Linked DNA regions of Anolis sagrei. The protein of the gene in region 2 binds, or shares a complex with, the protein of the main gene of each other region. Links are inferred from orthologs where the notes say so. Each region holds a gene or a part of one and is shown on either strand. Other genes may lie near its edges.

The links.
Region 1: LSM4 (region 2) and TXNL4A share a complex: the UniProt entries of both Homo sapiens proteins name them as parts of the precatalytic spliceosome. The link is inferred for Anolis sagrei from reciprocal best matches to the Homo sapiens genes LSM4 and TXNL4A.
Region 3: LSM4 (region 2) and LSM5 share a complex: the UniProt entries of both Homo sapiens proteins name them as parts of the precatalytic spliceosome. The link is inferred for Anolis sagrei from reciprocal best matches to the Homo sapiens genes LSM4 and LSM5.
Region 4: LSM4 (region 2) and LSM3 share a complex: the UniProt entries of both Homo sapiens proteins name them as parts of the precatalytic spliceosome. The link is inferred for Anolis sagrei from reciprocal best matches to the Homo sapiens genes LSM4 and LSM3.

Annotation. Positions count from the first base shown.
Region 1 is NC_090024.1:76,520,896-76,528,323, reverse strand, and holds the start of TXNL4A (thioredoxin-like protein 4A), read left to right. Parts: upstream 1-4,428; 5' UTR 4,429-4,536; intron 4,537-7,428. Other genes in the region: probable 2-ketogluconate reductase, read right to left, coding at 1-16, 4,018-4,020. UniProt on the Homo sapiens protein: Plays a role in pre-mRNA splicing as component of the U5 snRNP and U4/U6-U5 tri-snRNP complexes that are involved in spliceosome assembly, and as component of the precatalytic spliceosome (spliceosome B complex).
Region 2 is NC_090034.1:57,732,732-57,740,284, forward strand, and holds the start of LSM4 (U6 snRNA-associated Sm-like protein LSm4), read left to right. Parts: upstream 1-4,548; 5' UTR 4,549-4,633; coding exon 4,634-4,636; intron 4,637-7,553. UniProt on the Homo sapiens protein: Plays a role in pre-mRNA splicing as component of the U4/U6-U5 tri-snRNP complex that is involved in spliceosome assembly, and as component of the precatalytic spliceosome (spliceosome B complex).
Region 3 is NC_090026.1:72,054,782-72,061,937, reverse strand, and holds the start of LSM5 (U6 snRNA-associated Sm-like protein LSm5), read right to left. Parts: upstream 3,019-7,156; 5' UTR 2,967-3,018; coding exon 2,921-2,966; intron 1-2,920. Other genes in the region: late secretory pathway protein AVL9 homolog, read left to right, coding at 4,759-4,953. UniProt on the Homo sapiens protein: Plays a role in pre-mRNA splicing as component of the U4/U6-U5 tri-snRNP complex that is involved in spliceosome assembly, and as component of the precatalytic spliceosome (spliceosome B complex).
Region 4 is NC_090022.1:52,142,612-52,150,093, reverse strand, and holds the start of LSM3 (U6 snRNA-associated Sm-like protein LSm3), read left to right. Parts: upstream 1-4,474; 5' UTR 4,475-4,555; coding exon 4,556-4,576; intron 4,577-7,482. Other genes in the region: XPC (DNA repair protein complementing XP-C cells), read right to left, coding at 3,901-3,982. UniProt on the Homo sapiens protein: Plays a role in pre-mRNA splicing as component of the U4/U6-U5 tri-snRNP complex that is involved in spliceosome assembly, and as component of the precatalytic spliceosome (spliceosome B complex).

The DNA.
Region 1 (7,428 bases), on a different chromosome or scaffold from region 2:
TGTTGGTAATACCTGTCTGAGAAACAAGTTCAATTTGAGTTCACGTGGTGGAAACATAGCAGATAACACTATGAAACAAAATTAGAACACTTTTATGTTTCTAGTTTGAAAATGTTATTTCCTGTTAAATTGTGTGGTACTTACTTTGGAAGTAGTTGTTATATTCCGGAAACTTCGCTTTTGTGTTTGCCACAAACTATGTTGATTTGGTTGATACTCTGTGAGATATTCACCGAAAAACTATAGCAAAATGTGCTGCAGGTTGTCACGCAAACACAACGTTTATGCAGTTTAATAAACATTTTCTGTGGTATTATGATAGAACCAATTAGGAAATGATATGTATAACCCAAGAACAAAAATCATGTTACATAGTGTAATTCATCATTTTATCAGTGGATTTTAACTTATATTTTAACTCTGTGTATCTTGTTGTATGTTTTTAATAGTGTTTTATCTCTTGTTTTAATGATGTTGTATCCCACCTCAAGCCACAGGGAGACGCGGACAGTTTTTGGGCAGACAGATTGTAAATAGTGATATCACTCTGCTATATATTTACTGTGTATATGCCTTTGATTGATGGCAATCCCATACATTTTTGGCAACAACTTTTTGGCAAAGCTTTTTAGGCAAGAAATATTCAGAGGTAATTTGAAATATAGCCTATATTGGTGGTTTCATCCAAGACAGTAAAGGAGATTCCACCTGAACATTAGGAAGAACTTCCTAACTGTTCAGCAGTGGAACTCTCTGTCCCAGAGTGTGGTGGAGGCTCCTTCTTTGGAGGCTTTTAAACAGAGGCTGGATGGTCATCTGCCAGGAGTGCTTTGAATGCAGTTTTCCTGCTTCTTGGCAGGGAGTTGGACTGGATGGCCTTTGAGGTCTCTTCCAACTCTATGGTTCTATGATGCTATTTTTCTACTTATCTTCCAACATCAGACAGGATCTTATATGCCTTTATTGTACTTTCCTTACAAAAAAAAACCTGCAGTTTTTCTTAACAGCTCTTCTTTAGAAGGCTCAGAATGTTATTTTTCTTTAATATAGAAATATATTTAATATAGGAGACTTCTACAATATTTCCCTGCAGATGCTACAACCCTCTACCATTTGTCATCTCTCCCTCTTAAGTATCTTTTCCATCAATGTACCATCCCCTTATGGCTGCACCTGAGCATTGCAGCATCAGGCTCACGGGCTGCCAATGTAGGTTGTTTTGAAAAAGAAGAGTGTATCGGAAAAGTGGTAGGGGTGGGGTTTTGTTTTTTGTTTGTTTTGTTTTAGTTAAAATCCCTTTAATATTTTATGTTGAATAATGTTACTACCAAGTCTGGTCCTGATCCATCAAGCCATGTAGGAGCCTTTAAGGTACAAACAAACAAACATGCTTCACGTATATCTTTACTAACACATTGTTTTATAGATAACTTACCAGTTCTAGTAAAGCAGAAGAGTTCACTTGCAATAACACTATGTAACAAAATTAGAAAAAATGTTCTATTCCTGGTCTGAAAGTGTTATTTTCTACTTAATTATGTAGTGCTTTCTTTGAAAGTAGTTATACTCTAGTAACTTTGTTTTTGTGGCTGCCACAAGCTATATTGAATTGGTTGAGACTTGAGATATTCAAGGAGCCACGGCGGCACAATGGGTTAAACCCTTGTGCTGCTGAACTGCTGATCTGAAAGTTGGTAGTTCGAATCTATGAGACGGGTGAGCTCTCGTTTGTCAGCTCTGGCTCCTGACAACCTAGCAGTTCGAAAACATGGAAATTTGAGTAAATAGGGACTGCTTCGGTGGGAAAAAGCAAAGAGACTCTTGCTGGCTACACAACCAGGAGGTGACAACGCAGGCTCCATGGCCTGAAAATTGAGAAAAGCACCTCCCCAGAGATGAGTACTGCCTTCTGAAACCGGAAAAATGAAAGGAGAAGCCTCTGTCTTTGTGTTTGTGTGTCTCATTGTATTTGATTGTAAAGGCATTGTATGTTTGCCTATATATGCTGTAATCCGCTCTGAGTCCCCTAGGGGAGAAGGACAGAATACAAATAAAGTGTATTATTATTATTATTATTATGCATTGAAAAACTAGAGCAAAATGTGCTGCAGGATATCCTGCAAAGACAAAGTTTTTGCAGTTTAATAAACTTTTCCATGTTTTTAAAAATGATATAATTATAAAGTAAAGAACAAAACTCTGAAAACAGGGGAATTCCAGACATGAAACAAACAAGGGCAGCTAACACCCCCCAACAAAGGATTCCCCCAGGCAGGAAGCAGCCAAACATTGAAGCTGCAAGGCTTTGAAACGTTTGCTCCATCCATGTTCAACATCTACACAAATGACCAGCCACTGCCAGAAGGGACAGAGAGTTTCATCTATGCTGATGATCGTGCCATTACCACTCAAGCAGGGAGCTTTGAAATGGTTGAAAAGAAGCTCTCCGAAGCTCTAGGTGCTCTTACTGCCTATTACAGGGAAAACCAGCTGATCCCCAATCCATCTAAAACACAGACATGTGCCTTTCACCTTAAGAACAGACAAGCATCCCGAGCTCTAAGGATTACCTGGGAAGGAATCCCACTGGAGCATTGCAGCACACCCAAATACCTGGGAGTCACTTTGGACGTGCTCTGACCTACAAGAAGCACTGCCTGAACATCAAGCAAAAAGTGGGCGCTAGAAACAACATCATACGAAAGCTGACTGGCACAACCTGGGGATCACAACCAGACACAGTGAAGACATCTGCCCTTGCGCTATGCTACTCTGCTGCTGAGTATGCATGCCCAGTGTGGAACACATCTCACCACACTAAAACAGTAGATGTGGCTCTTAATGAGACATGCCGCATTATCACAGGGTGTCTGCGTCCCACACCACTGGAGAAATTACACTGCTTAGCCGGCATTGCACCACCTGACATCCGCTGGGAAGTAGCAGCCAATAGTGAAAGGACCAAGGCAGTGACATCTCCAGCTCATCCCCTGTTTGGGTATCAGCCAGCACGTCAACGACTTAAATCAAGACATAATTTTCTTAGATCTACAGAGACACTCGCTGGAACACCTCAGCAAGCGAGAGTCCAAAAGTGGTAGGCCCAAACCCAGCACCTCAATCCATGGGTGATACCAGATGAGAGACTCCCCCCTGGCACACAGAGGACTGGGCAACTTGGAAGGCGCTGAACAGACTGCGCTCTGGCACCACGAGATGCAGAGCCAACCTTCAGAAATGGGGCTACAAAGTGGAATCCACGGGATGCGAGTGCGGAGAGGAGCAAACCACTGACCACTTGCTGCAATGCAACCTGAGCCCTGCCACATGCACGATGGAGGACCTTCTTGCGGCAACACCAGAGGCACTCCAAGTGGACAGATACTGGTCAAAGGACATTTAACCAACTACCAAGTTTGCAAAATCTGTGGGTTTTTTTAAAATCTGTGTGTTTGTTTTCCTCTGTTAGAAATGTAATATAATGGTATGGTTGCTGATGACACGATAAATAAATTTGAAATGCTATTAAGGTGGTTAATTGCAACATTCACACTTGCCTCAAACAGAGAAGAGTTCTTTCTCCCACCAGGGCCATTCCACAGACGTATAAACCTCCCTTGCTTAGTTTCCAATATACCTCACAACCTCTGAGAATGCCTGCCATAGATATAGGAGAAAGGTCAGGAGAGAATGCTTCTGGAAAATGCCCGGAAAACTCACAGCAACCCTATGTTTATTTTGTTATTTCCACAAATACATTATGAAGAGAGCCTTTAGAACAGACCATTGTCATCAAGGGCATATGAGGGGAAAACGAATGTATTTACTTAAGTGTCTATCTACACTGCAGAGTTAATGCAGTTTGATACCACTTTAACCACCATGGTTCAGTACTACCATGAAATCATGAGAATTAATAATAATAACAACACTTTATTTATATTGTAGCTTTGCCTTCTCTTTAGCCTTCTGTGTTCAAGAGGGCCCCATCAAACTACAAATCCCATTATTCCATACCATGGCAGTTAAAGCGGAACAACAGCGCGACAACAGTGCAATGCAATAGGGCCATTTAAGCCTCTCCTATCTCTTTCTCACACCAAAGACTCGGGTGGCTTTCTCAGCTTAACATTCCTTTATCAGGCAGGGTGAGTCTCCCCACTCTTCCTTGCATGTACTTGCCCCGCTTCCTGCTACAGATCTTCAAGACCTTGCCCCGCTTCCCGATCTTGGGTGCTCCAGGGGTTTTGGACTTCAACTCCCAGAAGCCTCAGCCAGCGTGGCCAACACTCAGGAATTCTGGGAAGCGAAGTCCAAAGAAATCTGAAGGAGCAAAGTCTTCTTAGCCCCGCCCACCGCGCGCTCTGAGCTTAACCGGAAATGGGCGAATCGGAGAAGGGCTTCCGGAAACTTCCTTTGGTGACGTAACCCCGACGTCACTTTAGATTAGAGGGAGCCGGCCTGCGCCTCGGTTGGAGAGGTGTGCGTGTAGTCGCGACGGTGGGGAAGATCCGTCGAAACCTTCTCTGCTTTTGGGTGAGTTGGAAGAGGATTGCTGACGGGGCCCGGATGTTGGGCCTACTGCGCCCCGTGCTATTTGGACTGCGATTGAGGGACTGATCAGGACCTTCAGCCTCTTGGGGTCACGTGCTTGGTATTCCTCGACGCCATTGGCTGTATTCGTGGCTTTACAGTGAGAGCGTGTACACTTGCCATGGGCAAACCTGGGGCCTCCCTCCAGGTGTTTTGGACTTTTGAACTTCAAGGGAAAAGGCCCTTTCCTTTTCCCCCTCAGCTCCTTAACTAATTTAAAATAGTGGTCTAAAATGGTCTAATTTAAAATATTTAAATTAACATTAGAACTGCACAACAACAGAGAGGAAACAAACAAGGACATCTAATCACCTCTCAACAAAAGATTACTCCAGGCGCTGCCAGGCAATCAAATGCTAATCAAGGTGGTCAGTTGAAACATTCACACCTAGCTCCAGCAGACAAGAGTCCTTTGTCCCACCCTGGTCATTCCACAGATATATAAACCCTTTATCCCTAGTTCCAACAGACCTCACTACCTCTGAGGAAGATCGCCATAGATGCAGGCGAAACGTCAGGAGAAATGCCTCTAGAACATGGCCATATAGCCCGAAAAAACCTACAACAACCCAGTGATTCCGGCCATGAAAGCCTTCGACAATACATTAATTTAAAAAAGTTTGCAGCAGCCACAAAAGCGAAGGTTCTGGAATGGAACAACTACTTTCAAAGCAAGTACCGCACAATTAAACAGGAAATTGCACTTTCTCAAACTAGGAACAGAACATTTTTCAAATTTCGTTACATAGTGTTATTGATTGCTCTTTCCAAGTTGCAGCCAGACATGGAGACACATGGTGCTCACTGTTTGTGTTTGTGTTTGTTTTTTTTTAAATTAAGCTTCACCACTGAATGGTTGGTTTCATTTTTGGCAACATTGTTTGTTGACCATGACACCTTGTTTTCCTAACATTATGTTTCCTTTACGGATAATAACGTACTTCAAAAATGAAACAAAACGAGGGGAAACTATTAAGGATGGGTCAGTTGGGCTCCCCTGATGTTTTTGTTCTACCATAGGTTAGTGAAGGGGGCTAAAGGCAGCCACATTTCAACCACAAATTAGAAAATGAACCACAAATGACTAATTCTTTCTTTTGAACAAATAGTTAGGTTTATGGGCCAAGAAATAAAATAGTATTTTTTAGAAAAAAGAAACCAGGTGCTGTACAGGCTGTCACCAAATGAACAAGATAGGTTCTGTAGGTTTGTTCTTAAATTGAATTTGTATTTCAGAATTTTGAAACAGGTACATTTTTGAAGTGTAACTCGCTTTCTCTCTCTCTCTCTCTCTCTCTCTCTCTATATATATATATATACTAGCCATCCATGCCACACGTTGCTGTGGCCCAGTCTTGGTGATCTGGAAAATAAAGTAATGAGAAAGTATTGGTTTCTAATATATGTAATTTTTTTATGCTTGAGGGTAAACAGTATTTCTTCTTGTTTCTTAGTGTTGATGTAGAGCAGTGGTTCTCAACCTGGGGTCCCCAGATGTTTTTGCCCTACAACTCCCAGAAATCCCAGCCAGTTTAGCAGCTGTTAGGATTTCTGGGAGTTGAAGACCAAAAACATCTGGGGACCCCAGGTTGAGAACCACTGATGTAGATATTGTCTGGTTTGCCTACTCTGGAACATGCAACATGTAATTGTCCTTCTTTAGGGTTCCCTTTTATATCTATGATACTATATTTGTCATATATATATATATACATATGTGTGTGTGTATGTGTGAATCATATCTATCTATATCTATTGCTGGATGGCTCTTTGTCAGGAGGGCTTTATGTTTTCTTGCCCTGGTGAAGTGAGTTGGATTGGATGGCCTTAAAGCAGCATTTCTCAACCTGGGGGTTGGGACCCCTGGGGTGGGTCATGAGGGGGTGTCAGAGGGGTCACCAAAACTATCAGAAAAAAAGTATTTTCTGGGGGTTCTGTGTGGAAAGTTTGGTTCAATTTTATCGTTGGTGGGGTTCAGAATGCTCTGATTGTAAGTGAACTATAAATCCCAGCAACTACAACTCCCAAATGTCAAGGTCTATTTTCCCAAACTTCCATCTGTGTTCATATTTGTGCATATTGAGTATTCGTGTCAAGTTTGGTCCAGATCCATCATTGTTTGAGTCCACAGTGCTCTCTGGGTGTAGGTAAACTATAACTCCAAAACTCAAGGTCAATTCCCACCAAACCCGTCTACTGTTTTCTGTTGATCTTTTAAGTCCTGTGTGCTAAGTTTGGTTCAATTCCATCATTGGTGGAGTTCGGAATGCTCTTTGATGGTAGGCGAACTATAAATCCCAGCAACTACAACTCCCAAATGAAAAAAAAATCATTTTTTTAGTGATGGTCACTCCTTGGGTTAGGTGTCTTGTGGCCAAATTTGGCGACAATTCGCCCAGTGGTTTTTGAGTTATGATAATCCCACAAACGAACATTACATTTTTATTTATATAGATATGAGCAAGCTTTGGATAGCACCCCTGTGGTGTTTGTTTTTCTGTCTGCCCCCCCTCCTCCCCCGGTTCAGGAGCTCTCACCTCAATTTCTGTCCCTGTGATCATTGCATTTTGACAAATGTAGCATGTCTCGATAAAAAAACTACTTAATGAACAGGCTTGATTCCTTAAAAGCAGCACACTATGTAAGTTAGTTCATATGAAGTTTAAGGCCCCTTCCACACAGCTGAATAAAATTCCACATTTTCTGCTTTGAACTGAGATATATGGCAGTGTAGACTCAGATAACCCAGTTCAAAGCAGATTTGTGGGATTTTCTACCTTTATATTCTGGATTATATGACTATGGAAGGGCCCTAAGAAGAAAGTTTGAAGGGCA
Region 2 (7,553 bases):
GTAGTTGCTGGGATTTATAGTTCACCTACAATCAGGCATGTAGCCAGGGCAGGGGGCTCGGGGGGCTTCAGCCCCCGCCCGAAATTTTCATGGTGGTTCGCGAAAAGGCCTTACTGGTGCATTATTTCAACTGTTATGTTTATTCATATCATGATCTGATCACCATACTCAATATATCCCATATGCATAGGGGTATTGGGGTAATGATACAAAAGGTTTGCTAGGCTAGACCCTCTTTTACTCAGACTCAGCCCCCCCCCGAAACTCACCCCCCGAAACCCCCCCTGAAAAAAAATCAGCCCCCCCCCCCCCCGAAACGAAATCCTGGCTACGGGCCTGCCTACAATCAATCAATCAGTGATTTATTACGGTCTTTGACCAGCACAGTATAAAATGGGGCACAGGTGCCCAAGGAAGGGAATCGCAGTTCCCAAGTAGGTCAGATAAAAAGCAGATTAAAAACATGTTATAAAAGAGACAGATTAAAAAGCAGACTAAACTTACAGTTTAAAGTGCATGTATGAATCTAAAATAGCGGGGCGGCTAATAACAAATATCAGACAACTGGGAAGCTCTAAAAAGGGATGAGAGGGGAGCATTTACAGCATTTCAGTTATTACAAATCATTCTAACTATATTCCCGGCAGGAAGTTGCCTGGTGGAGTCGGTCATCAGCCGTCTAATGTTAATTGCTGCTGCACAGAACTTGGCAACACTGTAGGTTGTCACAGAGCAAGAGTCCGAGAGCAACAAGGAGGTGTAATATCTTTCAGTGCGCCCTGGATGTTTTAAAAGCCATGGAGTGATGAAATTAGCTCTAATGTCTCTATAGAATACACATTGGAGGAGCACATGTTCAGTTGTTTCAATGTAGCCAGAATCACACGGGCAGTCTCTCCTGGGCAGGGGTCTTCCAGTACCTCCCCTCCAGTACTGCCGATGGAAGGGCATGGCTTCTTGCCAAAGTGAAAGCTCTTCGGTGTTTAGGCACCTCCAGGTTTGCTAAGTAAGCCCTGGGAGCGGTGAGATATCTGTTATCTTCGCTAATGGTGAATGCTGGAGAGCAGGCTAAGTCTGATTGTCGCTCTATATCCAGGATCCGTTGTCTAATAAGATCCTTGGCTTGGTCCCATCCCATACCTAGCAGTTGTCCTTGAGGGAAGCCTAGAATTGTGATTTTGATTGCCACTGCCTTATTCCATGTAGACTGAAATTCATCTCTCAGAGTTAACGGAGCAAGGCCACATGTTGAGAGAGACAGATGCAGCCAATAATTGAGGGTGGCTGTCCACACTCTTGCCTCCACTGTCATGACGCCTGCCTCTAATCGCAGGGTGGCGTTTGAGACACATCTGGGGACCTGCATCGCCGATCTTAGAAATTTTGATTGTACTTGCTCCAGAGGGGCATAGTTTGAGAAGGGACCGAGTTGGGCTCCATACATCATTTGTGCTATGGATTTTGCCTCAAAGAGCTTAAGTGCTGCTGGTATGTAGTGGCCTCCTCCCGTTTTGAGAAACTTTAGGATAGCATATGAGCTCTTTTGCGCTGCATCTGCTACGTAATCCACATGTACTTTCTTGTTTCCAGTGCAGTGATAGAATACTCCCAGGTATTTAAAGCTTGAGACCTGGAAGGGTTTGGTGGGCATTGACCTTGAACTGAAACAATGATGGATCTGGACCAAACTTGGCACAAATATTCCATATGCCCAAATGTGACAACAGATCGAGTTTGGGGTAAATAGACCTTGACATTTGGGAGCTGTAGTTGCTGGGATTTATAGTTCAGCTACAATCAAAGAGCATTCTGAAGTGACATTTGGGAGCTGTAGACAACCAACAGAAAATACTGCAAGGGTTTGGTGCAGTATTTTGAGTTTAGGAGTTGTAGTTCACCTACATCTAGAGAGCACTGTGGACTCAAATAATGATGGATCTGGACCAAACTTGGCATGAATATTCCATATGCCCGAATATGAATAAAGATGGAGTTTGAGGAAAAGAGACCCTGACATTTGGGAGCTGTCGTTACTGGGATTTATAGTTCACCTACAATCAAAGAGCATTCTGAACCCCGTCAACGACAGAATTGGGGCAAACTTCCCACACAGAGCCCCCATGACCAACAGAAAATACTTAAGGCCATCCAGTCCAACTCCCTTCACCAGGGCAAGAAAATGTAATCAAAGCCTTCCTGACAAAGAGCCATCCAGCCATACATACATACATAGATAGATATGATTCAGATACACATAGATATAGTATCATAGATTTGAAAGGGGTCCCTAAAGAAGGACAATTATATTTTGCCTTTTTCCTGAGTAGTCCGAACAGACAATCTCCACATCAACCCTGACAAAGAAACAGCAAGAGTTACTGTTTACCCACAAGTATAAAGAAATTACAGACATAAGAAACCAACACTTTCTCATTACCTTATTTTCCAGATCACCATGGTTGTCCCCTGCCATGCATTGCTGTGGCCCAGTCTGGTGATCTGGAAAATAGGACTGAAGACTGACAAGTTGCAGGTTCGAATCCGGTGATATCGCAGTTGAGCTCCCTCTGTCAGTTCCAGCTCCCCTTGCGGGGACATGAGAGAAAACTCCCACAAGGATGGTAAAAACATCAAAACATTTGGGTGTCCCCTGGGCAATGTCCTTGCAGACAGCCAATTCTCTCACACCAGAAGCAACTTGCAGTTTCTCAAGTCTCTCCTGACACGACAAAAAAAACAACTAATATAATGCATGCATAAAGTATATATTATATATATATTATATATAATATAATGTGTAAACATATGCAATGTGTGCATAACATATATTTACACATTATTATATATATATATGATATTAAGTTGGGGAAAATGGAAGGAAAAAGGAAGAGTGGATGATGGGAATTGCAGTATCTTCACTCATTTCTTCAGACCATTGACCCACTCTACATCTTGGTGTGGTTTGTGGGACAATGGATCATGGATGATGGGACTTTCAGTACCTTCACTCACTTCCTGAGACCATTGCGACCCACACCAATGACTGATTGAACTTGGCATACAGAGCCCCCGTGACCCATTCCACATCCTGGTGCAGTTTGGAGGAGGATGGACCATGGATGATGGGACTTGCATATGGGAGTTTTGGTTCACCTGCACCCACTGAACCAAGCTGACATTGTATCTAGGCTAAACTTGGAGCACAGACAAACAATGCCTTTCTCAAATAACACGGGCACCGCCGGGTCCCCAAGCTAGTATGAAAATATAACATATATAATGTGTGTGTATATAGATATATATATACATACATTTTTGACTTTGTTGTACTCCGCCTTGAGCCATCAGGAGAGGCAGGTAATAAATAACAATTTATTATTATTATTATTATTTGAAACACAACAAGATGAGTCCACAGCAGACACTCTGCTGGCTGTTGTATTGCATCACACGTCGGACACTTCCCAAGTGTCTAGGACTGTGTGATGTATCAATGAATAATGTGTGCAGATCCCAGTAAGGTGGCCTTTTGCAGCTGGCAGCTGGTAATTTTATCAGTGCTGATTGTCTTTAAGTGCAGGCCAAGACCTTAGGCATTGTACCCTGTGTGCCGATCACCACTGAGACCACCTTTACTGTCTTGTGCCATTATTATTATTATTATTATTAGAAACACAACAAGATGAGTCCACACCAGACACTCTTCTGGCTATTGTATAGGATCACACGTCGGACACTTCCCAAGTGTCTAGATCTGTGTGATGTATCGGCGAATAATGCATGCAGATCCCAGTAAGGTGGCCTTCCGCAGCTGGCAGATGGTAATCTTGTCAGCGCCGATTGTGTTTAAGTGCAGGCCAAGGTCTTTAGGCACTGCACCCAGTGTGCCGATCACCACTGGGACCACCTTTACTAGCTTTGCGCCATAGTCTTTGCAGTTCCATTTTAATAATAATAATAATAACAATAATAATAACAATAATAATAACAATAATAATGTGGCCTTTTGCAGCTAGCAGATGGTAATTTTGTCAGCACCAATTGTGTTTAAGTGCAGGACAAATGCAGTGCAAGTCTTTAGGCACTGCACCCAGTGTGCCGATCACCACTGGGACAACCTTGACTGGCTTGTGCCAGAGTCTTTGCAGTTCGATCTTATTTATTTATTATTTAATAATAATAATAATAATAATAATAATAATAATAATATAATTTAGGGGATAAAAGTGAAGATAAACCTATGCAAAGATGATCCTGGCAGAAATAGAAAAACGAAAAGAAAGGGAAATGTAATAGGATACCAACGGGGATATACATGTAATCCACCAAAAAGATCACAACTCGAAATACAGCACAAACGACCATTCCGCTGCCCAACAGAAGTGACTTTCCGCTCCACTTCCGCCCAAAGAAGGGTTCGGACTCAGAGCAGCGACCAATCAGGACACAAAGGAGCAGCGACCAATCAGGACACAAAGGAGCAGCGACCAATCAGGACTCAGAGCAGCAGCCAATCAGCGCTCAGGCCGGGAGGGGCAATAGACGAAGCGCGTAATTGGCTGCTGGGCTGATTTGAAGGTGGAAGTGGCGCCGGCGGAAGCGGAAGTCGTGGCTGTGGAGCCTGGAGAGTAAGATGGTAAGAGCCTACGAGGCCTATGGGCCTGAAAACTGTTGTTTGTTTGTTTGTTTGTTTGTATCCCTCTTGTTCTCTCCTCAAGGAGACTCTAAGCAGCTTAAATTCAGTGGCCATGGCTCAATGCTATGCCATTCTGGGATTTGCAGCTTGGTGAGGCATCAATAGACTGTTCAAGGCCTTGTCAAACGGCAGCCCACATGACTCCATAGCATTGAACCAAGGCAGTTAAAGTGGACCCATTCTACAGAAGAGATGCACCCCATAGGTTATCATTTACCATTGCTGGAATCATAGAATCCTAGAGTTGGAAGAGATCTGGTGGGTCATCCAGTCCAAGCCCATTCTGCCAAGAAGCAGGAAAATTGCATTCAAAGCATCCCCGACAGATGTCCATCCAGCCTCTGCTTAAAAACCTCCAAAGAAGGAGCCTCCACCACACTCTGGGGCAGATTAAGGGTTCCACTGCTAAACAGCACTCACAGTCAGGAAGTTCAACTCCACTGGCTACCGATCTGCTACCGGGCTCAATTCAAAGTGCTGGCGTTGGCCTTTAAAACCCTAAACGGTTCCAGCCCAAGCTACCTATCCGACCGCATCTCTGCCTATGAACCCACCAGGACTTTGAGATGTTCCGGGGAGGCCCTGCTCTCAATCCCGCCTGCTTCTCAAGCATGGCTGGCGGGGACGAGAGATAGGGCCTTCTCGGTGGTGGCTCCTCGGCTGTGGAACGCCCTTCCTACGGACATTAGACTAGCACCATCTCTAAATGGTATTCTGCAAAAAAGTGAAGATCTGGCTGTTTGAGCAGGCGTTTGAATAATTAGTGCAATGATTGGTTAATGAACACTGGAATGGAACAATAGATGACGAATCTGGAACATGTTTTTGATGATGAGACGATAGTGAATGGGTATTGTAGTAACTGTTTATTAATTGTGTAATGTGTTAGGTTGTTAACTGTTTTTATACTGTAGCACTGAATTTTTGCTGTTTGTATTTGTTGTGAACCGCTGTGAGTCGCCTTCGGGCTGAGAACAGCGGTATATAAGTAAGGTAAATAAATAAATATGTTCAGGTGTAATCTCCTTTCTTTCCTGTAGTTTGAACCCATTGTTTTCCATCCTAGTCTCCAGGGCAGCAGAAAACAAGCTTGCCCCCTCCACCCTATGACTTCCCCTCACATATTTATACATGTCTCCTCTCCTCTTCTGAAAACTAAACATGCCAAGCTCTGTAAGCCGCTCTTCATAGGGCTTGTTCTCCAGACCCTTGATCATTTTAGTCACCCTCCTCTGGAAACATTCCAGAGGAAGCTTTGGTCTTCTAACACTTTTGTCTTTAAAGAAGGAATCGTAAACAGGCAGCAATTGCAATGGCTGAATTACATGGACAGCGCTTTCACTGCTTCGCATGACATTCAGCAACAAATACTTTTCTTTGGTTTCAGGGTTTTGAAAATGGCAACTTTCATTAGATTGGAGGGCACGTTCAGACCCCGGGGAAATACGGTTACCTCAGATCTTAAAAGGCAGGCTTGGCCCTGTCAGGAAGGGAGTAGGGGGCTCCTTTATGGCAGGAGAAAGTGGAGGGGGGCATCTGTATACCTGGAATCATCATGGGGAGCAGATAGAGTGGAAATCATAAAATAATAGAGTGGGAAGAGACCATAGGAGGGCGACTAAAATGATCAAGGGTCTGGAGAACAAGCCCTATGAGGAGCGGCTTAAGGAGCTGGGCATGTTTAGCCTGAAGAAGAGAAGGCTGAGAGGAGATACGATAGCCATGTATAAATATGTGAGAGGAAGCCACAGGGAGGAGGGAGCAAGCTTGTTTTCTGCTTCCTTGGAGACTAGGACGCGGAACAATGGCTTCAAACTACAAGAGAGAAGATTCCATCTAAACATGAGGAAGAACTTCCAGACTTTGAGAGCCGTTCAGCAGTGGAACTCTCTGCTACGGAGTGTGGTGGAGGCTCCTTCTTTGGAAGCTTTTAAATAGGGGCTGGATGGCCATCTGTCAGGGGTGATTTGAATGCAATATTCCTGCTTCTTGGCAGGGGGTTGGACTGGATGGTCCATGAGGTTTCTTCCAACTCTTTAATTCTATGATTCTATATAGTCCATCTAGTCAAAACCCCTACCATGCAGGAAAAGCACAGTCAAAGTAAACCTGACAGATGTGCATCCAGTCTCTGTTTAAAAGTTTCCATGGAAGGAGCTTCCACCACACTTCGAGGCAGAGAGTCCTACTGTTGAACAGCTTGTACGGTCAGGAAGTTCTTCCTAATGTTCTTCTTTCTTGTAATTTGAACCCATTGTCCCAAGCCCTAGTTTCCAGGGTAGCAGAAAGGAAGCCTGCTCCCTCTTCCTTATGATATCCTTTCACGTATTTATACGTGGCTCTCATGTCACCTTTCAACCTTCTTTTCTGCAGGCTAAACAGACCCAGTCCTTGAAGACGCTCGTTAGAGGGATTATTCATGGTCTCCAGATCTTTGATAATTTTAGTTGCCCTCTTCCTCTGGACACCTTCCAGCTTAGAGTCAATATCTCTTTTAACCTGTGGTGCACAGAATTTGTCAGGTAAAGAGATTTGACCAAAACAGAAGAGAGGGGCACCATGACTTCCCTTGATCTAGATCAGTGGTTCTCAATCTGTAGGTCCCCAGATGTTTTGTCCTTCAACACCTAGAAATCATAACAGCTGGTAAACCTGCTGGGATTTCTGGGAGTTGTAGGCCAAAGCACCTGGGGACCCACAGGTTGAGAACCACTGATCTAGACACTATACTCCTTTGATGCAGCCCAAAACCCATAGGCTTTTTTAGCTGCTGCAGTTATTTATTTATTTATTTATTATGTTTATATCCAGCGCTTCTCACCCCAAGAGGGGGACTCAGAGCGGCCTTACAAAAAGG
Region 3 (7,156 bases), on a different chromosome or scaffold from region 2:
AGGACAGTTGAACAATCAAATAAAAAGGAACATGAGAGAATGCTGCAATAAATGTTAACAGCAACAAGAATTGTATATGTTCCAAGGTGAAAAATGACAGAAATACCAACTATAGAAAATTGGACAGTCAAGATGCAATAAATAATAGAAACAGACTAATTTAACAATGTTGTTGATAGATAAGACATTGGGCACAATCTTAGAATAGAAACCATGTGTTGTCAAAGGCTTTCATGGCTGAAATCACTGGGCTGCTGTGATGTTCCAGTAGCATTCTTTCCTGACGTTTTGCCTGCATCTGTGGTTTGCATCTTCAGAGGTTTGTTCTGAGGACTGTTGGAAGTGAGGCATGTAGAGTGTATATATCTGTGAACTGTCCAAGGTTGGGGGGGGGGGGGGACCTTGTCTGTTTGAAGCAAGTTTTGCAATTAGCAAGACTGAGTAGAATTGAGTAGCCTTGCACCCCCCCCCCCCCGGTGGTTCAATGGGTTAAACCACCAAGCTGCGGAATTTGCTCACCAAAAGGTTGGTGGTTCAAATACGGGGAGCATGGTAAGCTTCCACTGTTAGGCCCAGCTTCTGCCAATCTAGCAGTTCGAAAACATGCAAATGTGAGTATATCATAGATACCTCTTCTGTGGGAAGGTAACAGTGCTCCATGCAATGATGCTGGCCTCATGACCTTGGAGGTGTTTATGGACAACAGAGGCTTTTTGGCTTAGAAAGGGAGATGTGCACCACCACGCAGAGTCGGATACGACTGTTTTATGAAACCTTTACCTTTACTAGCCTTGCAACTGCAGAGTCAGTCAGTGTTGTAGTCTGGAGATATCTTTTGTTTGCCAATAATAGACTTGCAGAATACTACTGGAACAGCCCGAAAAACTCACAGCAACCCAGTGGAAACCATATTATCAAGATATATCTGGGGAGAATGAAAGACTTTATATATAGGTTTGGTGACATAAAATGTTGGGATATTCATTTGCAAATGTTAAAGAAAACTAAAGTAAACAATTGGCTGGATATAAAGTGGAAGAAAAACAATTAAATTGATCGAGAAACTGAAAAAAAGAGATGTTGGAAATCCACTTTGAAAACTAATGTTGTAGAGTTGTAGGTAGAAATGTATGTTCTTCGGGTTGTCATACTCTAAGTATGTCATGTTTTATGTACAGGGTGAGGCAGCATAACTTCCTTTTTAAAAAATGTGCTCAATTTAGTCGGCTGAAGACGAAGTGGAGCGCTAGTGGTCTCATTCGAGAAGCGGGAGTATAAAGTTTTGTCCTGACACAGTTCAGTCCATCATGCATTGGAACAGTGAGGAGCATACTTTTGCCATTGAGGCCTACTTTTCGAGCGGATTTGGAGTGGCCGGCCAGCTCTCCAGATTTGGCCCCTTGTGATTTTTTTTCTAATCCCGTGTTTATGCGAACCGTCTAAGGACCCTACAAGATTTGAAGACCAACATCCAGGAAGAAACTGCCAACATAATGCCTGCTATGCTGCCAAGTCATGACAAACACCAGAAATTGCTTTACTCAGTGTATGGCGAATGGGGGACGTCACCTACCTAATTTGATCTTCAAAACTATGTAAAACAAAACTTTAGGTATGCGGAGCTTGGAGCAACGTCAATTCCAGACAATTTCACCCTATGTCTGGAAGCTCTGTCAAACTGGCTACGTGCTAACAGACTGAAGATGAACCCAGCGAAGACTGAGATTCTCTGGCATGGTCGCCTGGCAGGTCTGACTCCATTACCCACCTTCGATGGTGCTGCCCTATCTCCATCGATCACTGTTAAGAGCTTAGGTGTTGTCCTGGATTCACAGCTGACAATGGAAGCTCAGGTCACTGCTGCCAGGAAACAGGCCTTTTTCCATCTACGACAAGCGAGGCAACTGGCACCCTACCTATCTGACGAGGCTCTGGCAACTGTCATCCATGCCACGGTCACGTCTACGCTGGACTATTGCAACGCCCTGTAGGTGGGCCTTCCGATGTCTACGACCCGAAAGCTTCGTATTGTTCAGAACGCGGCAGCCAGGTTACTCACAAGAACGCCCATGAAATACCATATAACACCAGTGCAGCAACATTTACATTGGCTTCCAACTGAGTACCGTGGCCTGTATAAGATGCTAGTTCTGACCTTTAAAACTCTTTACAGCCAGGGTCCATCGTACCTTAGGGACCGCCTCTCCTTCTCCCATCATCGGAGGTCGCAACAACCAGCCCAACGTGACTTACTCCATATACCGGGTCCTAGAGAAGTGCACTTGGAAAGGACCAGACGCAGGGCTTTTTCTATTTCTGCCCCTGCCTTGTGGAATTCCTTGCCACCCTACATGAGAGCCATGCGTGACTTAGGGCCTTTTACTCTCGCACTTAAGACCTGGCTTTTTACTAGAGCATTCGATCTCTGTTGATTTTTAATTTTTGTATGTATGTATTTTATCTTTTGTAATTTAGCCTAGAGCATTCTCTAGGTGATTAATAAGTTATTAAATGATAATGATGATGATTTAAAAAAAATTCTGATTCATACAATGGGTTTTATTAAGTTTTGAAAAAAAGGAAGTTATGCTGCCTCACCCTGTATTTACAAGTATTGCTCCTTTTTGTGTTTTTGTTGTAAAAAAAATAATTAAAAATATTAGGAGAACAAAATAGAACAAAGCTGCTTCTCGAGTTCCTTCATCCCACTTCCAAGAAAACTGACAGAACTTCCCTGACGCAGGGCCTCAAACATAGGTTTCGCCTGAAGCTAATGGCCAAGGAAGCGGGGAAAGAGCATTTACCACTTCAGTCATTTATCTTTTTAATTTGCCAGACAAATATGACAGCTCCCCACTTCTCCCAAACGCCACGCTTCCCCTTCCCCTTCCTCCTCGTCGCGTTTCCCTCAGTTTGTTACCAAGAGGTAGAAGCTGAGACGGGTTGGTCGTCGCGTTGGCCGCCATCTTTGCGCCAGACCCAACTAATCAATTCCACCCCCTCCGCGCGGCGCTGCTTCGAGCCTATTGGCTAAATAAGGATCACGGGGGCTGTGACGCCACAAAGAATCGACCCGGCGGCACCGCTCAGACAGGTCCAACCAATCGATGAGCGAGCAGTCGAACGGTTTCAACAGCGGGGAGGAAGAGGAGGCGGGGACGAGCTCATCTAGTCACATGAGGATGCTTCACTGAGCGATTGGTGTATGGTTTATAGCGGGATCCAACTCTAAACGAAACGCAGATCTCAAGCTATTTTGTATTGTACGGCACCCACCACGACAAGTTGCAATGACAGCAGGAATATACACACTGCGAATACGATTGCTTCCTGTGTATTCATAGAATCACAGAGTTGGAAGAGACCTCATGGGCCATCCAGTCCAACCCCCTGCCAAGAAGCAGGAATATTGCCTTCAAAGCACCTCTCACAGATGGCCATCCAGCCTCTGTTTAAAAACCTCCAAAGAATGAGCCTCCACCACACTCCGGGGCAGAGAGTTCCACTGCTGAACTGCTCTCAGTCAGGAAGTTCTTCCTAATGTAGGTGCATCCACTCTGTAAGATTAATGAATCCTACAGAGTGGATGTAGGATTCATTTGAACTTCTATGGCTCAGTGCTATGGAAATCATGGGAGTTATAGTTTCACAAAGTCTTTCACCTCCCTTAGTGCTGACCCATGGCAGTTTAAAGTGATGTCATACAGGACGTACATAGGGGGAAATGAGAAATAGTAACTAAAGCTACTTTAGGTAAAGTTAAAGGTTTTCCCCTGATATGTAGTCCAGTCGTGTCCAACTCTGGGGTATGTTGCTCATCTCCATTTCTAAGCCGAAGAGCGGCGTTGTCCGTAGACACCTCCAAGGTCATATGGCTGGCATAATTGCATGAAGCGTCGTTACCTTCCCGCCAGAGCAGTACCTATTGATCTACTCACATTTGCATGTTTTCAAACTGCTAGGTTGGCAGAAGCTGGGGCTGACAGCAGAAACTCATGCCGCTCCCCAGATTCGAACCTGGCTGCAGTCTGCATCTGCAGTAATCTTTGCACCTAGAAATACAAAGTCTGTCACGGCCTCCACATTTTCTCCCTCTATTTTCTAGTTGTCAATCATTCTTGTTGCCATAATCTTGGGTTTTTTAATGTTTAGCTGCAACCCGGCTTTTGCGCTTTCTTCTTTCACCTTGATCACTAGGCTCCTCAGCTCCTCCTCGCTTTCGGCCATCAGAGTGGTGTCATCTGCATATCTGAGGTTGTTAATGTTTTTTCCAGCAATTTTCACCCCAGCTTAATATATAATATATAATAACATAATATATTGTATGTATAAATAGCTTGTAAGCCGCTCTGAGTCCCCTGCAGGGTGAGAAGGGCAGCATATAAATGTAGTAAATAAATAATAGTAGCAGGACTTTCTTTCTATGGCGTTCTGAGGGTGCTGTCCCTTTAAGAGCAGAGCCCTGGCAACTGGTTGCCCAGAGGAACCAGCCTGAGGTAACAGGTCAGGAAACTTTCTTCTTCCTGTGGCCCTAATTTGGCCAAGGCGGCCAGTAACTTCCCTCGGCTATTGGACTTTGTGACTAGAGACCTTCACGCCCAGGTTCCTCGTTCTGTCCTCTCCCTCCCTCCCTCCTCGGGACTGGCTCGGCCTCCCGGCCCTCGGCGGTGACTGAAGTCCGCTCTCTTCCGGTTTCCTGAGCTCTCGGCGCGAGGGCTTCGGTAGGCGCCACTGCGCGTGCGCCCTCCTTCTTGGCGCATGCTCAGTGGCCGCCTCGCGCCGCTCATCCGGAGAGTGGGGAAGGAGCCTGTCAAGAGTGGAGGAAGGCAGGCGGCTCTCCTTCCCTTCATGGAGCGGAGGGGCCGAGCGCAGGGCGACCTCCCGCCCCGAGCCTCCAAGGGGCCCGTGCTGCATATCGCCGTGGTCGGCTTCCACCACAAGAAGGGCTGCCAGGTGAGCAGGAGGCAGGCAGGGAGGGAGGGTCTCTCGCTTCCCCATCACAAGTTCCCTTTCCCCAAGTCTGCGCCTCCAGCTCCTTCTCCCAAAGGCTGCCATTGGATTCCTCTGCTTCTCAGTTCCCTCCCCCTTCATTCCTTTTCCACCCTCAGGGCAAGATTTGGGAGTATTGCTTAAGACAGGTATCTCAGGAGTATTGTTTCTTTCAATCTGGACAGGTGTCTCAGGAGTATTACTAAAACAGGTATCTCAAGAGTATGATTCCTTTCAATCTGGACAGGTATCTCAGGAGTGTTATTTCTCTCACACTTTTGACTTCTATTGCTACAAAATATAGATCGGGTATTTATTATTTATTTACTTACTGTATTTGTATACCGCCTTTCTCAGCCCGAAGGCGACTCAAGCCAGTTAACAGGGTAAAATTCAATGCTTACAATATCATAAATACAATTAAAAACAAGACATATAATAAAAATTAAACATATCAATAAAATATAAATTCTTAGTGTCGCCTTGTTAAAAACGTTGTCCAGTCTCATTGTCGTCTTTCCATTTTTCTATGTCAGTTACTCTGCACTTGGAAACGCTTGTTCAAAAAGCCCTTTTAACATTTTCTGGAATGTTAAAAGGGAGGTGGCCGATCTAATATCTATAGGGAGGGCGTTCCACTGCTGAGCGGCCACCGCCGAGATGTCCCTGTCTTGTCTCCGCCAGATGTACTTGTGATGAAGGCGGTAACGAGAGCTGGACCTCCCCAGACAATCTTAAGGTCCTGGTTCATAAGGGGAGATGCGTTCGGACATGTAAGTTGGGACAGAACCGTTCAGGGCTTTATAGGCTAAAGCCAGCACTCTCAATTGTGTCCGGTAGCAAACTTGCAGCCAGTGGAGCTGGCGCAACAGAGGAGTTGTATGCTTCCTGAGCGCTGCACCTGTTAGCAATCTGGCTGCCATTCGTTGGACCATTCAAAGCTTCCGGACAGTCTCCAAAAGCAACCCCACATAGAGTGTGTTGCAGTAGTCTATATGGGATGTAACCAGAGCGTGGACCACTGTAGCCAGATCAGACTTCCCAAGGGATGGGCGCAGCTGGCGCACAAGCTTTAACTGTGCAAATGCTCCCCTGGTCACCGCCGAAACCTGGGGTTCCAGGCTCAGCGATGAGTCCAGGATCACTCCAAAGCTGCAAACTTGCATCTTCAGGGGGAGTGCAACCCCATCCAACACAGGCTATGTAATCCTATGCCCTGTTCGGCCTTACGACTGACCAGGAGGACCTCTGTCTTGTCTGGATTCAGTTTCAATTTGTTTGCCCTCATCCAGATCATCATAGCGGCCAAGCATCGGTTCAGGATCTGAACAGCCTCCTTAGTTGCAGGAGGGAAGGAGTGATAGAGTTGGACATCATCTGCGTACAGGTGACAGGTATCTCTTGACAAGAGGGCCAGAATCCTCCAAAATTGACTGCTTGGGTGACTGAGACAGTGATACTTCGGCTTTTCTGATCCTTAGGCAATCCCTCATAGCTCGAGGATGATTGTCTTCCAGATGTGGTGTCTTGGCGGTGGATCCGTAGGTGGCTGTGGAGCCCAGTTCTTGATCCACATGTTCTTCTGCAGTGAGTTTCCAGATGGGAGGCGGTCCAATCAGGGTTGGCTTGACACGCCTTCCTTTGGGCATGTTTCTCCCTTTCACCCTCCATTTGTGCCTCTTTGAATTTTGCAGCACTGCTGGTCACAGCACTGCTGGTCACAGCTCACCTTTAGTTAGAGTGCAATATGAATGGGTTCCTGAGTTAGTATGCTCAACAAATATCCCCCTTGTATAGAAAATAGAAAATAGAATTCAATGTATAATTGTATAAACTTGTTATACTGTTCAAGTTTACAGTGATCACAAACAATATTATATGAGTTTTTGTACAGTCACTTTGAAATGGTATCAACGTCGTGTCTTCTTATGTTGAGTTGCATATGAATCAGCCATCCACGACCGGTTTTGTTCTTTCTCCAGGCCTTCCTCTAGTGGACTAAAATTATTATATACATCAAAATTTGCTGCAAATATATATATTGAACATCATATACTGAAATACATTTGAAGTTACTTCCAAAGTTATAAACTTAGCACTTATTATATACATCAACATTTGTTGCAAATATATCCATTAAACATCACATGTTAAAACACATTTAAAG
Region 4 (7,482 bases), on a different chromosome or scaffold from region 2:
AGATGGAAATCTTAATCTTACTTCCAGCATCATTTAGATGGAAATCCCCCAATCTTACTTCCAGCATCTCCAGCAGCCTGCACCTCGTCATTCATTAAACGCCTGATGGCAGAGGTATATTTTTACCTGTCTATTTAGACTGTTCTAAACAATCCTGGGAAAGAAGAAACTGCTATTTCTAAAAACAAGGAATGATGAAAGCTGCTGAACCTTGGAAACTAAAAATGCAGCACTCCCACATGCTGTGTCTTTATGGCTTGTTTTTAGATAGAGTAGATGAGAACATAAACTATAACTGAGAAAAATGACATATAATGTCAGTTTATACATTTCATTTCAAGCCACCAAGTGATAGGAAATCAAGCATCCTATGCAAATGTCTGAAGGCTAATAGCACAATGAAGACTAAACATGCAACTGCAACCACCTGGGTCTACTTCCTCCATTATTGCTTATGTAAGGTTTCAAACTGTACAGTCCTTGGGGCAGAATACTCTGGGTAGTATAAAATACAGGAATATTAATATTCGTACAAGTTTTAAAGCTGACTCCAATTTCTGACAAGCCTATCCTAGGGTTATTACCTTAATACTATTACTGTAATTAAAATATGTAGTGATCAAATAGCCAATAACAAAAACTTTTATTCACAATATTTTTGTATCATCTTTCAAGGCAAAGCACTGGAGCTCAAGCTGCACTGTAGTAAGTGGTTTGCTCTTCTCCACACTGAGCCCTGCCACATGAACCTTCTTACAGCGATACCAGAGGCACTCCAAGGGCCCTTCTACACAGCCCTATATCCCAGAATATCAAGGCAGAAAATCCCATAATATCTGCTTTGAACTGGGTTATCTGACTCCACGCTCAGATTATGTGGGATTTTCTGTCTTGATATTCTGGGATATAGGGCTGTGGAGAAGGGCCCCAAGTGGCCTGCTTCTGGTCAAAGGACATTTAGTATAATGCAAAGTTTTAAACTTTGTTTGTGTTTTTGAATACATGATAACTGTAACCTCAAGTTGCTTCTGACATGACAAATAAATAAATAAATAAATAAATAAGGCAAAGCAACTTGTGCGTACATGTCTTCAAGTCACCCGTTGCCGAATGGCAACCCCATCAATTTAATGGGGTTTTCTTAAGCGAAGAAGACTCAGAACCCTTCCACAATGCCCCTATATCTCAGGATTATATGATTATCCCAGATTATTTGGCAGTGGAGACTCATATAATCCAGTTTAAAGCAGATAATCTGGGATCAGAACTTGGGATATAGGGCAGTGCAGAAGAGGCCTCAGAGATGGCTTTGTCAGTTCCTTTCTTTGAAATATAACCTGTAGCAGCTAGCATTCATTGGGGTGAAGATATACAAATATTTCACACTGCTTAGTTTCCAAGAACATGAGGGATTCTTGAATGCAGTTTTAGATAGGAAAATGTTCAGCATGTTTTAAGGGGCCTATGGCACTGGCTGTTAAGAATTGTGGGAGTTGTATTCCAAAACATCTGAAGGGCCAAAGTTTGCCCATGTCTGGTCTGGAAGATAAATTTTTTTGAAAACAACGCACTCCAAAATGGTTCAACAAAAGCTACTGTCTGTTGCCTTTTCTCTTCTTGATCAAGCTGTTTAGAAAAAAGCAAAAAGAAAAGCTCGATTTTTCTTCTCTGAAACATTTTGTCATTTTCCTCATCTGAAACTTTTTGCTTAGTCTAACAGCCTCTTCTTATACAGCAAGTTTTCCTTATGTAGTTGCTGGAAGCAACTGGGCGAAAGTCTCTTCTGTTCACGTGCCTGTTGCATAAAGCAGCAGAGCATGGAATGCTGAAGACATTCACACATCAAACGCTTCCGCTGAGTCTTTTGGAAAGCCGATTCTGGAAAAGGAGGGGTGCATTTCATCCTGGAAGATTAATAAATGCTCATTCCATAGGAAGCCAAAATCATTTAAAAGGTGGAGACGGATAATCTCTGTTGTTTCCTTTCGTTCGGTTTTGTACAGAGTTATGCAATGGAATCCTGGCCAGAGAGTGCCAAAAGCTGTAAATGGTTATTGATACGCTCTCAGGCCCCTTCCACACAGTTGAATAAAATCCTACACTTTCTGTTTTCCATACAGCCATGAATATCGAGGTAGAGAATCCCACCATATCTGCTTTGAACTGAGTTATTTGAGTCCACACTGAAATATAACGCAGTTCAAAGCAGATGTGGGGTTTCATACAGCTGTATGGAAGGGGCCGCAGATGGGGTCTTACACTGTAGAATAAATGCGGTTCCACTCTGCTATGGAAAGTTGCAGTTGGGTGAAGTACCAGGACTGGGTTGTTGTAGGTTTCTTGGGCTATGTGGCCATGTTCTAGAAGCATTCTCTCCTGACATTTTGCCTACATTTTTGGCAGGCATCCTCAGTGCTTGTGAGATGCAGGCAAAATATCAGGAGAGAATGCTCCTAGAACATGGCCATATAGCCTGAAAAACCTACAACAACTCAGTGATTCCGGTTATGAAAGTATTTGACAATACATTTTCCCATATATATTTATGGATTTTGTGCAGGAAAACGTCCCAGTGGATTGCACTCTGTTTCTGGTTAGTCACAACCTCTGAGGACGCTTGCTGGTATTGTATTGTCAAAGGCTTTCATGGCCGGAATCACTGGGTTATTGTAGGTTTTTCGGGCTATATGGCCATGTTCTAGAAGCATTCTCTCCTGACGTTTCACCTGAATCTGTGGCAGGCATCCTCAGGGGTTGTGACTAACCAGAAACAGAGTGCAATCCACTGGGACGTTCTCCTGCACAAAATCCATAAATATATATATATGGGAAAATGTTCAAATACTTTCATAGCCAGAATCACTGAGTTGTTGTAGGTTTTTCAGGCTATAAGGCTATGTTCTAGAAGCATTCTCTCCTGACGTTTCACCTGCATCTCACAACCTCTGAGGATGCCTGCCACAGATGCAGGCAAAACATCAGGAGAGAATATAGCCATATAGCCCGAAAAACCTACAACAACCCAGTGATTCTGGCCATGAAAGCCTTAGACCAGGGGTCCTCAAACTTTTTAAACAGACGGCCAGGTCATAGTCCCTCAAACTGTTGGAGGGCCGGATTATAATTTGAAAAAAAAAATGAATGAATTCCTATGCACACTGCACATATCTTGTAGTGCAAAAAAAAAATTAAAAACAATACAATAATTAAAATGAACAATCTTAACAAATATAATTTTATTAGTATTTCAATGGGAAATGTGGGCCTGCCTTTGGCTGATAAGATAGGATTGTTATTGTTGTTATTGTTGTTGTGTGCTTTTGAGTCATTATAGACTTAGGTTGACCCTGAGCGAGGGCCGGGTAAATGACCTTGGAGGGCCGCATCCGGCCCCCGGGCCTTAGTTTGAGGACCCCTGCCTTAGACAATACAATACCAGGACTCTTTGGCAGAGAAGGCCAAATCCCTTAAAGCGACAGGGCTCTCGATCCCATAGCTTGAGCCATGGCAGTGCCAAACTTCATTCTACATTTTTGTTTTTTGTCTTGTCAGGAGCGACTTGAGAAACTGCAAGTCGCTTCTGGTGTGAGAGAATTGGTCTTCTGCAAGGACGTTGCCCAGGGAATGCCCAAGAGATGATTTGATGTTCTTATCATCCTTGTGGGAGGCTTCTCTCATGTCCCCGTATGAGGAGCTGGAGCTGATAGAGGGAGCTCATCCGCCTCTCCCCGGATTCGAACCTGCGACCTGTCGGTCTTCAGTCCTGCCGGCACAGGGGTTTAACCCACTGCGCCACCGGGGGCTCCTTCTACATTCTACAGTGTGTCAGGGGCATTCTGTGTATCTATCCCCTCCCTCCCTCCCTCCATCACGGCCTTCATGGCTCTTTCGGGGTCTCACCGCCTGGCTTCCCGTCCCCGCGGGGCCTCTTGCCGGCGCCCTGCAGCGAGGGGCGGCCCTTGCGCTTGCTGCTGTCGCCCATCGCTGGCGGCTCCTTCGGGGGCTTCCTTCCCGCATGGGGAAAACAATGGAGACAGAACGCGAGCGCGCCACTGGCCACTAGGGGGCGTGCCGGCGCAGCCAGAGATGGAGGAGGAAGAGGAGGATCTAAGTTGGCTTCCTAGGCCTTGGCAAACTTGGGCCCTCCAGGCGTTTTGGACTTCAACTCTCACCATTCCTCCCAGCCTCAGGCCCCTTCCTTTTGCCTCTCAGCCGCTTAAGCGGCTGAGAGGCAAAAGGAAGGGGCCTGAGGCTGGGAGGAATGGTGAGAGTTGAAGTCCAAAACGCTCGGAGGGCCCAAGTTTGCCCAATCCCTCTTTTTCCCCCTAGAACTCCAACTTCCATAATCCTCAACACCCTTGGGCCATGATGAGGGATTCTGGGAAATTGAGTCCGAAAGCACTACTATATAGAAGCCAAGCTCTGTGGAAACGGACGCGACCCGGAAGTGAGCGCCTGTGAGAGTGCCTCTAAAACAAGTCTAGAGCGCCTGCCGCTAACACAGCGGACCGGGCATAAAATACCGCGAGAAGAGACTCGAACCGCCTTTGAAAAAATGGCGGACGAGGTTGATCAGGTGGGTGACCGCGTTATCTCCTGCGTCTCTTTTGGGGAGGAAATGAAAGGGAGAAGGGGGGCTGATTTTAACATTTATTTATTTATTTACGACATTTATATGCCGCCCTTCTCACCCCGAAGGGGACTCAGAGCAGCTTACAAGGGATATATACATACAATGGCCGGAATCACTGGGTTGTTGTAGGTTTTTTCGGGCTGTATAGCCATGGTCTAGAGCAGTGGTTCTCAACCTGGGGTCCCCAGATGTTTTTGGCCTTCAACTCCCAGAAATCCTAACAGCTGGTAAACTGGCTGTGATTTCTGGGAGTTGTAGGCCAAAAACATCTGGGGACCCCAGGTTGAGAACCACTGGTCTAGAGGCATTCTCTCCTGACGTTTCGCCTGCATCTATGGCAAGCATCCTCAGAGGTATATTATATTATATATTATAGTATTAACATAGTACCACATCAGTATTAAATATTACTATATTGTACTATACCATTATATTGTAATGTTATTAGTAATATTACATGTAATATAAATATATAATTATTAAAATATCATATTATATTGTATTACATTATAATATTATAAATATTATATGTATATACAATATACAGTGGGTTAAAGTGCTGAGCTGCTGAGCTTCTCGACTGAAAGGTCGCAGATTCATGGAGTGGCGTGAGCTTCTGCTGTCAGCCCCAGTTTCAGCTAACCCAACAGTTCGAAAACATGCAAATGTGAGTAGATCAGTACATACCGCTCCAGCGGGAAAGTAACGGCGCTCCATGCAGTCATGCTGACCACATGACCTTGGATGTGTCTATGGACAACGTCAGCTCTTTGGCTTAGAAATGGAGATTAGCACCACACCCCAGATCAGACACAACTGGACTTAATGTCAGGGGAAAACCTTTACCTTTACCTATATGTATATACAATATATTATATTACATTGCATTATATTGTATTATTAGAATAGCACAGGAAACAAGGTGGAACTGTCCCCTGGCCCCCTCTCTCTTCACTCTGGCCCAGAGCAGCAGTTGGTGCTGCAGGGAGAGGTCCCCGACAGATGACATATCAGGAGGAGGATGGAACTGTCCCAATTCCTAATGTTATCCCAATTCCTAATGTAATGCCTTATTTTGCATGGAGTTCATTTTGGAGAGCAAGTCTTGTCATAAGGTACATGTTCATCCTTCTGAATCCAAGTGTATATACACTGCAGAATTGATGCAGGAGTGTGGTTTCTCAGTGAATTTTCTATAGAAGCCAAGGTGACTAAACCAAGGCTGCATTTACACTGTAAAATGGATGTAGTTTGACACCACATAATGGCTGAATGTTATGGCATCCTGAGAGGTGTAGTTTTAGCCGCCTCTGCCAAAGATCGATGTGCCTCATCAAACTGCAAATCCAAGGATTCCATTGGATTGAGCCAAGGTAGTGAAAGTCGAATTGCATTAATTCTGCAGTATAGATACACCCAGACGTTATCATACTTGATATGTATCAGGAGAAGACTTGACTCACTAGAAAAGACAATAATGTGTTGTCGGAGGCTTTCATACCAGAATCACTGGATTGTTTGTGAGTTTTTTGGTTTGGAAAATGGCATTCACAACCATTTGCAGATTATACTATAAGAGTTATACAATATAGTAATATACAATACAGATATTGTAAGATGCTAATAATATAATGTATTGTGTGTGTGTATGTATGTTGTTGTTCATTCGTTCAGTCATCTCCGACTCTTCGTGACCTCATGGACCAGCCCACGCCAGAGCTCCCTGTCGGCCGTCACCACCCCCAGCTCCTTCAAGGTCAGTCCACTCACTTCAAGGATGCCATCCATCCATCTTGCCCTTGGTCGGCCCCTCTTCCTTTTACCTTCCACTTTCCCCAGCATAATTGTCTTCTCCAGGCTTTGCTGTCTCCTCATGATGTGGCCAAAGTACTTCAACTTTGTCTCTAGTATCCTTCCCTCCAATGAGCAGTCGGGCCCCATTTCCTGGAGGATGGACTGGTTGGATCTTCTTGCAGTCCACGGCACTCTCAGAACTTTCCTCCAACACCACAGTTCAAAAGCATCTATCTTCCTTCGCTCAGCCTTCCCTAAGGTCCAGCTCTCACATCCGTAGGTTACTATCTTGTAAGCTGCTCTGAGGTTCTCTTCAGGGTGAGAAGGGTGGCATATAAATGTCATAAATAAATAAATAAGAGCCAAAAACCCATTTGAGTAGAATCTTCTCAAATAGTATACAACCAAATATAGTATGTGTCAATGTCTTTTATTATGTTTTTTTTACTCCAATGGTTTTATTGTTTTAGTATATTTTATTGTTAAATGTTTTTAATTATGTTACTTGTAACCTTTGTTTATGTTGGGCTTGATCCCCCTGTAAGCCGCCTCAACTTCCCTTGGGGAGATTGTGATGGGATATAAGAATAAAGTTGTTGTTATTATTATTATTATTATTATTATTATTATTATGTCTTCAGTTGTAGGCTTTGAAAAAAAATGCTTTACTCACAGCCTTCATGTTCAGCATAACACAGGTACACAGCTTATCAGTCCAATTTCAGATATATTTGAGATAGTTTCTATGTGCAGATGACACAAGGCTTCTTTCTTTCAACAACAGCAGGCAAGTGTTGGTCTGAGTCTAAGAAGAAATCTAAAATGGAGTCTGAGGTCTGAACAGTCTCAGATCAGATCATGTGGTGTGCAGCCCCTCCCACAACCTCTCATGAAACATAGAGCAAAAGAAGCTACATATCAGAACAGGCATACAAAACAGTAAGAAAACAGAATATATTAACAGATTACTAGAGGAGGCTTGAAGAAGGCTGTAATTTCCAACATTTGGGCAGTATGGTCATGTTCCAGTAGCATTTTCTCTAGACATTTTGCTT